Linked DNA regions of Sus scrofa. The protein of the gene in region 1 interacts with the protein of each later gene in a biochemical or structural test. Links are inferred from orthologs where the notes say so. Each region holds a gene or a part of one and is shown on either strand. Other genes may lie near its edges.

The links.
Region 2: the proteins of TJP2 (region 1) and CTNNA1 form a complex in vitro, tested with the Homo sapiens proteins (2 studies listed by BioGRID and IntAct, with this or other methods). The link is inferred for Sus scrofa from reciprocal best matches to the Homo sapiens genes TJP2 and CTNNA1.

What each region holds. Positions count from the first base shown.
Region 1 is NC_010443.5:222,522,827-222,527,995, forward strand, and holds the start of TJP2 (tight junction protein ZO-2), read left to right. Parts: upstream 1-1,925; 5' UTR 1,926-2,099; coding exon 2,100-2,180; intron 2,181-5,169. UniProt on the Homo sapiens protein: Plays a role in tight junctions and adherens junctions. Acts as a positive regulator of RANKL-induced osteoclast differentiation, potentially via mediating downstream transcriptional activity.
Region 2 is NC_010444.4:140,680,759-140,685,931, forward strand, and holds the start of CTNNA1 (catenin alpha-1), read left to right. Parts: upstream 1-2,017; 5' UTR 2,018-2,162; intron 2,163-5,173. UniProt on the Homo sapiens protein: Associates with the cytoplasmic domain of a variety of cadherins. The association of catenins to cadherins produces a complex which is linked to the actin filament network, and which seems to be of primary importance for cadherins cell-adhesion properties.

The DNA of each region.
Region 1 (5,169 bases):
GTCAAGCCTTGAAGGGAACTCCCTCCTATAACTTTCTTTTCCAAAGAGTTGTATTGATTTATACTGCCACCAGCAAAGCTCCTGTATCAATTGAATCACTTTTTTCACCACTCTTTGAGTCTGTGTATTGTGAGAATTTTGTTATTTGTACTATGGAAGAATGTCATCATTTGGAGTAGTGTAATAGAACTTTCTGTGACAATGGAAATAGTCTATATCTACACTGTCCAATATGGTAGCCACTAGCCACATGTGGCTACTAACTGAGCCCTAGAAATGTGGCTAATGTGATTAAGAAAACTGAAATTTTCATTTTATTTAATTTTAGTTAAATTTAAATGTAGTCAATATTCACATGTGGCAAGTGGTCATCATATTGGACTGCACAATTCTGGAGAGAAAAAGGAAATCACTCAGCAGATATAATTGTTACATTCTGGCTTTTTTTATCCTTTTTAAATTTTAGTGGTATCAGCTCATGTCACTAAGGTGTGACCAGTTCACAAATGCTGCCACTGTTATTATTAGTCAGCAACATCTATTTTGGAAAAGATTTTTTTTTTTTTAAATAGTGCTTTCATCAGGAGAGTAACACCTTACATCAGAAATACAACCGAAATGTCTAATTCTGAACACTTGAATGAAAATGGGAAATATTACTCACAGTGCTTTTTATTCAGAGTCATGCACTTAGCTACTCCAAAGGAGGCCAGAAGCCTAACACTTTCAGAGAGGCATCTGCTGGACTTGTTTTTCCACATAAACTGCCAAACTTGTTTTGATTAGGCAGGAAGTGAAGCAACTTTTTAGGGAGAGAGCCGGGCATCTGCATTTCGTCAGTGGATCCATTTTGACCTTTTACCTTTTACCTTCTTGGGAGCCTGGGCCGAGTTTTGCTTTTCAATTTAGAAGAGCAGGATGGCCACATTTTTTTTTTCTTACAGTGTGGTTTCCTTAGAGTCCAAACCCAAAGTTTTATTTTTTTACATCAGTGCACCTGTCTTGATTTTCCAAATAACTTACATTACCTTAAAACAAGGAAAAAAAAATTTTGGGGCTGTGCCCTTGGCATGGGATAGGGACAGAGCCACAGCAATGACAATGCCAGATCCTTAACTTGCTGTGCCACTCTGAGAACTCCCCAAATAAGATTTTATTTATTGTGCACATTTCTTCGTATAGAGGACTCTAAAACAAATAAATGTACTGAGTTGAATTTGATGAATCCTGCCTGATAAGTATTTGTAACCTATTTTTCAAAAAAAAGCCTTTTAAAAGCTAGTGATGAGAGAGGAGTTTCCATCTCTTTATTAGAGTTGTTGGAAATGTGCCAAAGAGATAACCTGGCGTATATTTCCCTCAAAAATCATGTTTTATTCTTTAACATGAACATCTTATACCCTCGGAATTCGGGGAATTGTTGAGCTGAAAAACCTGGGGTACAGTGCCCTGTGTTGCCAGCCTCTAGGCAAGACAGCAAAAACTTCGGGGTTTCCCGGGTTCTTCCTTTCGGAAGAGAACCGAGGAGGGGGCGCTGCAAAAGTCTCCAAAAAGCATTCTTACAGGATCTCTAATGGGAGAACCTGCTGACTAACTCGCCACCCCACACTTACCGCTGCAAGCAAACTTGCAGCGCTTCCCTCGCACGCGCGGGGCGGGAGCGGGACCTGAGGCCCTGTGCATGCCGCGGAGCGAACCATCCGGCCGGCCGGAGAGGGGGGAGGTTCGGACGTGGGGGGCGCGGTAAGCTGGGGCCTCGGTGTCTGCCTGTTGCCTCCACCCTCTTCCGTCCCTGGCGGGGAGTCGCGCGAGCCCGAACCCTCGGTGGGGACTTGAGGGGCGCGGCGCTGGCAAGCCTTCCCCCGGGCCGCGCGGGGGTGGTAGCGGCCCTTTTCAGAGTTTCCCGGGCCGGCGGCCGGCGCAGAGGCGCTGCCTGCGGCCGGGGGCGGGCGGACGCCGCAGCCGCCGCGGCCGCGGGAGGAGGGACAAAGGGGTGGGTCCCCGTGGGGCCGTCACCCAGGCAAAACGCGGCTGACGGACTGAGAACTGACCTGCCGCCCGGAGTATCAGGAGGAGCGGGGCTCGGGACTGGTGCGTCCATGAGAGACCCGCGCCCGAAAATGCCGGTGCGAGGAGATCGCGGGTTTCCACCCAGGCGGGAGATGTCAAGTTGGCTCCATGTAAGTGCCGTCTGGCGTCCCGCTCGGTTGGGAGAAGGGTCGCGAGGAGAGAGCTTAGGAGCGCGTGGTGGGCTTCCCGGATGCGCTGTAGGTGGCTGGGATTCTTCCATCCGGAGGTGGAGTTGAGGGCAGGGAGTAGGTTTCGCCGGCAGAGGTGCTGGGTCAGGGCCTCCAGGATTCCTGAATCTTTTTCTCTGTTCTATGAAGTCACTTGGTTTTCAGTCGCGAGTAGGGGAAACTCTCTTGAACTCTGTTTTGGATCCCTGCTACCTTTGAGGCATCTCGTTGAGCTTGTTATGTCGCCTGTTGTTTGCTTTTGAGTTTTCCTTCTTAGTTTCAAACCAGTTATTCTGTAATTGATGCAAAGTTAGAGCATGTGTGCATGAGACGAACTGACGACTCTTTGGAGATGGGAATCCTCATTTTCCCTTTCAATCTCTTTTAGTCGGCAGTATAAGTAAAAGTTATTTGTGGCAGGGAATGGAGATAGGGTTTTGGAGGACCCCCCAAAAAGGGAGTGATGAATACTTTGTATTCTGGTATTATCTTACCTGTCACCAGTTCCTTTTCTTTTATGTTTTCATTTGTCAAGTTTCTGCTTTACACAGTAGTTTAAGTTATAAATAATCAGGGTTTTGCCTACAGGGTTTTAACATTCTTGAAACGTGGATGAACTTGGGAGTGAATACTCCAGGGCTTAGTAATGGAATACAACCCTCCCACCTCTATTTTAGCTTCAATTCCGAGGCAGTGCTGCTTCCTTGGCAGCTGTCTGGCCTGAGTAATGGTTGTGGTTTTCCAGCAGTTCCCAGTGGAGTCTCATCCCGTGGTAGAAACTGCCCTCCCTTCTTCAGCTAGGGGAATCCCATCACAGAAGGAAAGCGGCCCTTTTCCTTCAGATCTTTAGATGGTCTGTGCTGGAGGTGCTGAAGGTCATGCTGGGAGAACAGGGTCATTTTTGTCAGGATTCTTCCTGGGAAAGACAGTCTACATGCATACGTGGGAAGCAGATGGTTTTCATTTTAATTGAGGAGTTAGTAGTAGTGATTGCTTTTGCGCCAAAGTGCCAATTATTATCCTGCCTAAAACAATGAAATTGGTTGTTTAATACATTTTTATGAGCACCTTCATCTCAGTGTGGAAAATAGAAATGTTAAGAGTGTGCTTCTACCAACCACACTGTCTTGTTGGGGAAACCTGTAAATGATGAAGACTGATAGTTCCAGTTAGAAATAGGGACAGGATGCTGGAGTTGCTTCTCTCTGGGGAGCTGAGAGAAAGGAGTGTTTTACTAAGGCAGTGGTGGCTTTTGAGTTGTATCTTGAGCTTTTTCAGAGCTACTGCCAAAGATTGATGAAGGGGGATCCCCCCCCCCAGAATGGCTGCTGCAACTTTTTTAGGACCGCGAAGTTAATAAATTAATGAGCACCCACCTGTGCCCGGCCACTGTTGGGGAGGTGGGGGTGTGAGGTGAGTAAGACTCAACTTCAAGAGTCTGTTTGATCTGAAAATTTTAGATGTTTTTTGGACTGCAGGCTCTCTCTGCTGTGGCTAAAGGAGGGAGTGTGCTGCACAGATGCACACTGTGCAGTACAAAAATACAACAAAGTGTGGGGTCTTCCTGTGCACACTCCCTTCAGGGATTCTTTTTTTTTTTTTGTCTTTTTGCCATTTCTAGGGCCGCTCCAGCGGCATATGGAGGTTCCCAGGCTAGGGGTCCAATCGGAGATGTAGCTGCCAGCCTACGCCTGAGCCACAGAAACACAGGAGCCAAGCCGTGTCTGCGACCTACACCACAGCTCATGGCAACGCCGGATTGTTAACCCACTGAGCAAGGGCAGGGATCGAACCCACAACCTCATGGTACCTAGTCAGATTCGTTAACCACTGCGCTGTGACGGGAACTCCCCTTCAGGGATTCTTATTAGGAAGAAAGTTCAGGAGTTCCCGTCCTGGACCAGTGGAAATGAATCCGACTAGGAACCATGAGGTTGCAGGTTCAATCCCTGGCCTCGCTCAGTGGGTTAAAGATCCGGAGTTGCTGTGAGCTGTGGTGTAGGTTGCAGATGCAGCACAGATCTGGAGTTGCTTTGGCTGTGTAGGCCGGCAGCTACAGCTCTGATTAGACCCCTACCTAGCCTGGGAACCTCTAGACGCCATGGGTGTGGCCCTAAAAAGACAAAAAAAAAAAAAAAAGTTCACTATTTGAACAGATACCTCACAGGGTAAGCCAATATAGAAGATGAGGTTAACAACACACCTCACAGAGTTGAATGAGGATTGAGTGAAATGACGTAGGGAGCTTGGCCTGTAGTGGGTGCTAAGTAAACAGTAGCTGGTACAGTCATCCCACGGTGTCCTGGGGCAGGGGAGGTTCCAAGATTCCTCTAGGATACCAGAAACCTAGGATACTTAAGTTCTTTATCTAAAATGGCATAGTGGCAGTTCCTCTCGTAGCTCAGCAGAAGCGAATCTTACTAGCATCCATGAGGATGAAGGTTTGATCCCTGGCCTCACTCAGTGGGTTAAGGATCTGACATTGCCATGGGCTGTGGTGTGGGTCGCAGATGCAGCTCAAATCTGGCGTTGCAGTGGTTGTGGTGTAGGCCAGTGGCTACAGCTCTGGTTAGACCCCTAGCCTGGGAACCTCCATATGCTTCATATAACCTACCTACTCATATTCTCCTGTAGTCTTTAAATCATCTCTAGATTACTTACAATACCTAATACCATGTAAATGTTATGTAAATAGATGTAAATACACCGTAAATGCTATGTAAATTTGCTTGTGTGCAGCAAATTCATGTTTTGCTTTTTGGAACTTCTGGGGATTTCTTTTCCCCTTGATCTATATAATTGGCCCAATCCTTGGATAAGGAGGGCCAATTTAATATGAAAACAGGAGCTGAAAACTCTTTTAAGTGTTGGGTCCCGGCTTACTAAGGGAAGTGGGTTTTGCAAGGACGGATAGAAGGTGCCAGGTAGGGTC
Region 2 (5,173 bases), on another chromosome or scaffold:
AGAAATTTCTTTCTCACAGTTCTGGAGGCTGGAAAGTCCAAGATCCAGGCCCCTGCCTCATCCTACTCTGGTAAGAGCTCTCTTCCTGGCTCATGGTCAGGCCTTCTTGCTGTGTCCTTACACAGCAGAAGGGGCAAGGGCTATCTCTGCGGCTGCCTTTGTCAGGGCACAAATCCCATTTAGGACGCCTCTGCCCTCGTGTCCTGACTGCCGCACCTCAGGGAGGGGACACAGGTGTGCCTTCAGCCTCTGACAAACATTTCCAGCCAGGTTGGCAGGCCCTGGGGCCAGAGAGTTTGACAGGTTCTCTGGGGTCTGATCGCCCTTTGTTTTTCGCCAGGCAGGGCTCTAGAGACTCTGGAGCTGGAGACTATGGAGCCATAATCACTTCGTCTCTGGGGGTGGGGTTCAGGGGCCTGCTTGGTTTAATATTCCATTGCTGCTATCTTAAAATTGTTAGCAATTTTTGGAGTTCCCATTGTGGCACAGTGGGTTCAGAATTCAACTGCAGCAGCTTGGGTCACTGCAGAGGTGCAGTGTGTTCAAGGATCCTGTGTTGCCACAGCTTCGGTATAGGTCACAGCTGTGACTCAGGCTGCATTCTTGGCCTGGGAGATTTGACAAGCTGTGAGTGTGGGCATCAAATGAAAAAAAAAAAAAAAAAAACAAAAAACTGAAAACCTGTTAGTAATTTTTCAACAAGGGGCATCATAAATTGAGTAGCTGGTACTTGAGTGAAGAGATGAGTATACAAAATTATGGAGCATAATCCTTTAACTATGTCTTTTGTTAGTTCAAACAAGTATTTATTGATTGAATACTATGTTCTAAGGTAGCTAAGTGTAGCTGGAGGAAGCCACAGCCACTCCATGTAGGGGAGACCACAGGAGCAAAAGCTCTGAAGATGGAAACAGCATGGACTGTGGCTGGACAAGAATGGCCTCATTAAGGTTACAGTGGGCACTTGCACCTACAGAGAGTAACTGGGCCCCGCCTAGGGGATGAGCCTTGTGCTGGGTGCTGTAGGAGATACAGCTGCTGCCCTCCAGGAGTTTGCATTTCCTGGGAAAGGGAGATTTGAGTAGAAAAAGGTAAACATGCTGAGGGCAGGTCTCCCTAGCACCCTGTTCAGAGCTCAGCCCAAAACGAACAGTGGATACTGCTGTCATGCATAATTTTGGACTTAATAGACCAGTGCAGAAATCAACTCGTTCGTCATCCCATGATGGAGAAGGAAGTCATACCAGACTGAGAGTGTAGTATTTTTGGTTTTGTTTTGTGGTTTTTGGGGGGAGCGTTCAGTAGAAAGATAAGGAAGGAAGAGTGGGAATGAAATTCCCTAAATGGCCAGAGGGATAGGGATAGAAGCCAGGTCCTTCAAATGTGCGTGTGTGGGGAGGGGGACAATCTCAGGAGGTGATGCTCCTGTCACAAGCCTCTTGTTCTCCATCAGGAAGGCTGTTGGGTTTACCCATCTGTCAAGCGACCGGCTGAGTTGGGTGATTGCTAGGAGGCTTTCCCATCGCACATTATGAGGTCCCTGGAATTGGATTCGAGTTGCACTCTGCCTCAAGGTGTGAGGCTTCAGTTTTTCCTTCCGTAAAGCCAGGGAATGGGCCTGGAGCTCTTTTCTGGAAGCCTGTGCCCCGGGAACACCTGTGGCACTCGGAAGTCTGCGCCGCCGGGCCGCCGGGTCCCAGGGGCATCAGCGGGAGGTGGGGCCAGAGCGGGCGGTGCCCGGAGACTCACCTGTGCGCCGCGCGCTGACTCACCTGCCCTCCCCAGCTGGCGGGCTGTTCCAGGCACCCGCGCTCCTCCCTCCGCTCGGGGGTGGGGGTCTCTCCCGGCCAGAGTGCCCACTAGGGGCTTGGCAAGAAGAACCTCGAGGGTCAGGGGCAGAGAGCAAGAGGGCCTCTGGGGGGTCCGGGCCTGGCGGACCAGGCGCTCCGGGTCAGGGGCCACCCTGGCCAGCGGGGTGGCAGCGGGAGGCGCCGGGAAGAGCGCGCCGGAGGGAGGTGCCGGGAAGGGCGGGCGGGGCCCGGGACGCGGGGCGGGGGCGCCGGGCGGCCCATTTCCTCCCTGGAGCCGGACAGGGGCAGACAAAGCGGCGGCCGTTGGCTTCGGGCCTCGGGAATCTTCCTGCCTCGCCTCGCTCGCCGCAGGTAATTGCCTTCGCGCGGGTGTGGGCGCCCCTCGCTGGGCAGGGGGCTCCTCGGGCGGGCGGCCCGGGCGGTCCCCTTTGCGACCCCGCCTGGCCTCGGGCTCCGGGTGGGCGCCGCTGCGGCCTCCGGCCCGCTCTCGCCGCGGGGCCCCGGGCCTGGGCCCTGGTGGAGCGGGCGGGGCCGGCGCTTACTGGCGCTCGGGAAGTTGAGGGCCCGCGGCGGCCGGAGCAGCGCGAGCGGCAGGCCCCGCGCCGCCGCGGCGCCTGCTCTCGGGAAAGTTTCTCCGGGCTTGGAAACTTTGTTCGAGTAGCCTCGGTGCGCGCGCCAGGCCCGCGCTGAGCCCGCTCGGCCGCCTTCCTCGAGGGCAAGAGTCCGTGCGTGGTTCCGCGGGCGGGCGGGCGGCGGCGTTGCGTTTTCCGGGGAAGCGAGTGAGGTCTGTGGTTTCTGGCATCGCACCCCTCCCCCCGCCACCGAAACTTGCCGGTCAGGTGGACGGGGCGGCTGCTGGGCCCGCACCCTCGCGTTCCCGGCCCGAGCGCATGTGCGAGTTTGCGTGTCCCTTTCTCGGACACAGTCTGGCTGGGAAGGGGCGCCACACCCGTGTGGACTTTTGGCGTGTACATGTGAACCTTTGTTGTGAAATTCCTCGGACTTCTGTGCTGTGTAATTGGACGCCCTGAACTCTAATTAGTTCTGGTTTGCACGAGGGACGTTGGAATCTTTTTTTTGTTGATTTCTAAAGGGGTGTGTTTGTGTGGGAGAGGGAGAGAGAGAGAGAAAGGGAGAGAGAGAGAGGGAGAAACACTTGTTGGAAAAAATGTTGTCTGAATGCCTACTAACCTTGGTGTGGCAGGAATGGCTTCCCAATAATGCAGGCGGCAGTTGGCTCCAATCCAGGACTGAAACCCTATTATGTCCCTCTGCGTCTTTGCAACATTTTTTGGTGTTTGCTTTGTACAGAATTTACAATAATCTAGAAAAGAGTAAGGTATGTTCACTCTCTAGATTATTAAGGCGTTTCTTATGTGTGTTGAAGGAAGTGATTACATCACTGTATTGTTGCAACAGGATAGGCATTTCCATGGGAGGATCGTATGTTTAGCAGTGATTTTTGAAGATTGTATAGGTGTGTGTCACTTTAGGAAAGTGTGGATTTGTAAATCACCTTAGTGAGGATGTGGTACTTTAATCCATAGCTTTTGTCCAGTGATTTACTCTTTCTGACTTTTATCAAATTACAAAAATCATTTTTATCCACTTTCTTAAGGGCCCACAGTTGATTAAGAAATAGTCTCTGCCCCAAGAACCCACCGTGTAATAGGGAAGGGACACACAGCTTGGGTGTAGTGCAAGGCCGATGGCGATATGAACCACAACAGTAATGACCAAAAACTTGTGCGTGGGTCACACCTTACGTAATAATAATGATAAGAGAAACTCGTGGAATTGTGCAGGGGGATCTAGTAAGTTTTGTTTGGATAAGACCAGAGGGCTTCCAGGAGGGGACGGGCATTTGAACTGGTTAGAGCAGCAGTGGGGTTTTGTCGGGAAGAAGCATGAAAGGGCATAAAGGCGTTTGTGGAATTGGATTATAAATCTCTCCTGGTTTTCCTTATACTTTTGGCTCTTGTTTCTTAATCTTTCTGTTGTTGTTCAAACCACTTATATCCAAGATTCTAACGTATCTCAGCCCTTCACACCACTGATGTGGCATCATTCTCCCACCACCAGTCACATCTTTTTCCAGGGGTGACCTAGAGATCGGGGTGCCCTCTCCCGGGTTGAGGATCACTTCTGTACAGTCTCCCTGTCATCAAATGTAAGCTGAAGTCCAACACTTTGTGGGCTAAAGCTAAAGCTTCTATTTTGAGTGCAGATGTCTTAGCTCACCCACATGGTCAGCTGTGCATCAGAGATCTCCTTCAGTGTCCAGGGGCTTCGCAAACTCTGCAGGACCAAAATGAGATAAGTGACCTAACCTAGATATGGAGATGGGCAGTAACTGGCAGAGTTGAGGGATTTCTGAAAAGGAACAATAGTTAGTGACGGGACAGGCAGACCTGGATATTGGGGGTGGTGGTGGAGAGTCCTCTGATCTTAAAGGTCCTGAGATAGCAAAAAACTCCTTGTGTTTAGAGACCTAAGAGAAGGTTCGTGTAGCTTGGATGCATGCTTTGGGGGTAGGAAGGAGCCCTGGCATGAGATTGCCAGGGAACTCCAGGTCACGTGCCTGGATTTTATTCTAAGAGCTGTGAGAAGCCATTGTAGGAAGTTTCAAGATCTGATTTCCTTTTTAGGAAGATCACTCCTGCTGGTGCCTGCAAGGCTTGTGTTTGTGCACTAGTAGAAGTAGGAGGTTGATCCAGGAGGATGGTAGGAGTGAGGTGGTGGGGCTAAAGGGAGCTGTACTTTGGAGAAACGAGATAAGCCTTAGGGAAGGATTGGATGCAGCGGCCTAGGCCCTAGGCGGGTCTGTTGGTTTGTTGTTTCCTCATTGCTGCTCCTCCTCTGCTCCCACACCCAGTTTGGATTCCATCACTTACATGAGCTTTTAGTCATATCTCAAGTCCCCCTTAGCACTTTTCTGTCTGGTAGCAAACCTCTTCTCACCAGGTACATGGCACTTGATCTTATTACTGATATGCCTGTTGGCCTTTCTTGATAGAAGGTGAGCCTTGAAGGCTGATAGCCTTAGCCTTTGGCGTGTACCTGGCCTGGAGATGTTTAAAAAAAAAATAGAAGCATGTTGAATGAAGGATAAAAAGAGTCTTTTTTCTTCTGGAGTCTGGTTTATGAGTGGAACTCTGACAGATGAGAGGACAGTCAGATAGTGGAGGGCCTGGAATACTGGACCAAGAGACATCTCCAAGCCTTTCTTTAAACCTAGATCTGATCAGATGAAGTCCTTTCCTTCCTCTCTCCTCTTAGCATGAATTCCTTTTTGCCCTTCTCTCTGCTTCCACAGTAGTTTATTTATCAGTATTATTATTTTTGCTTTTTTTTTTTTTTTT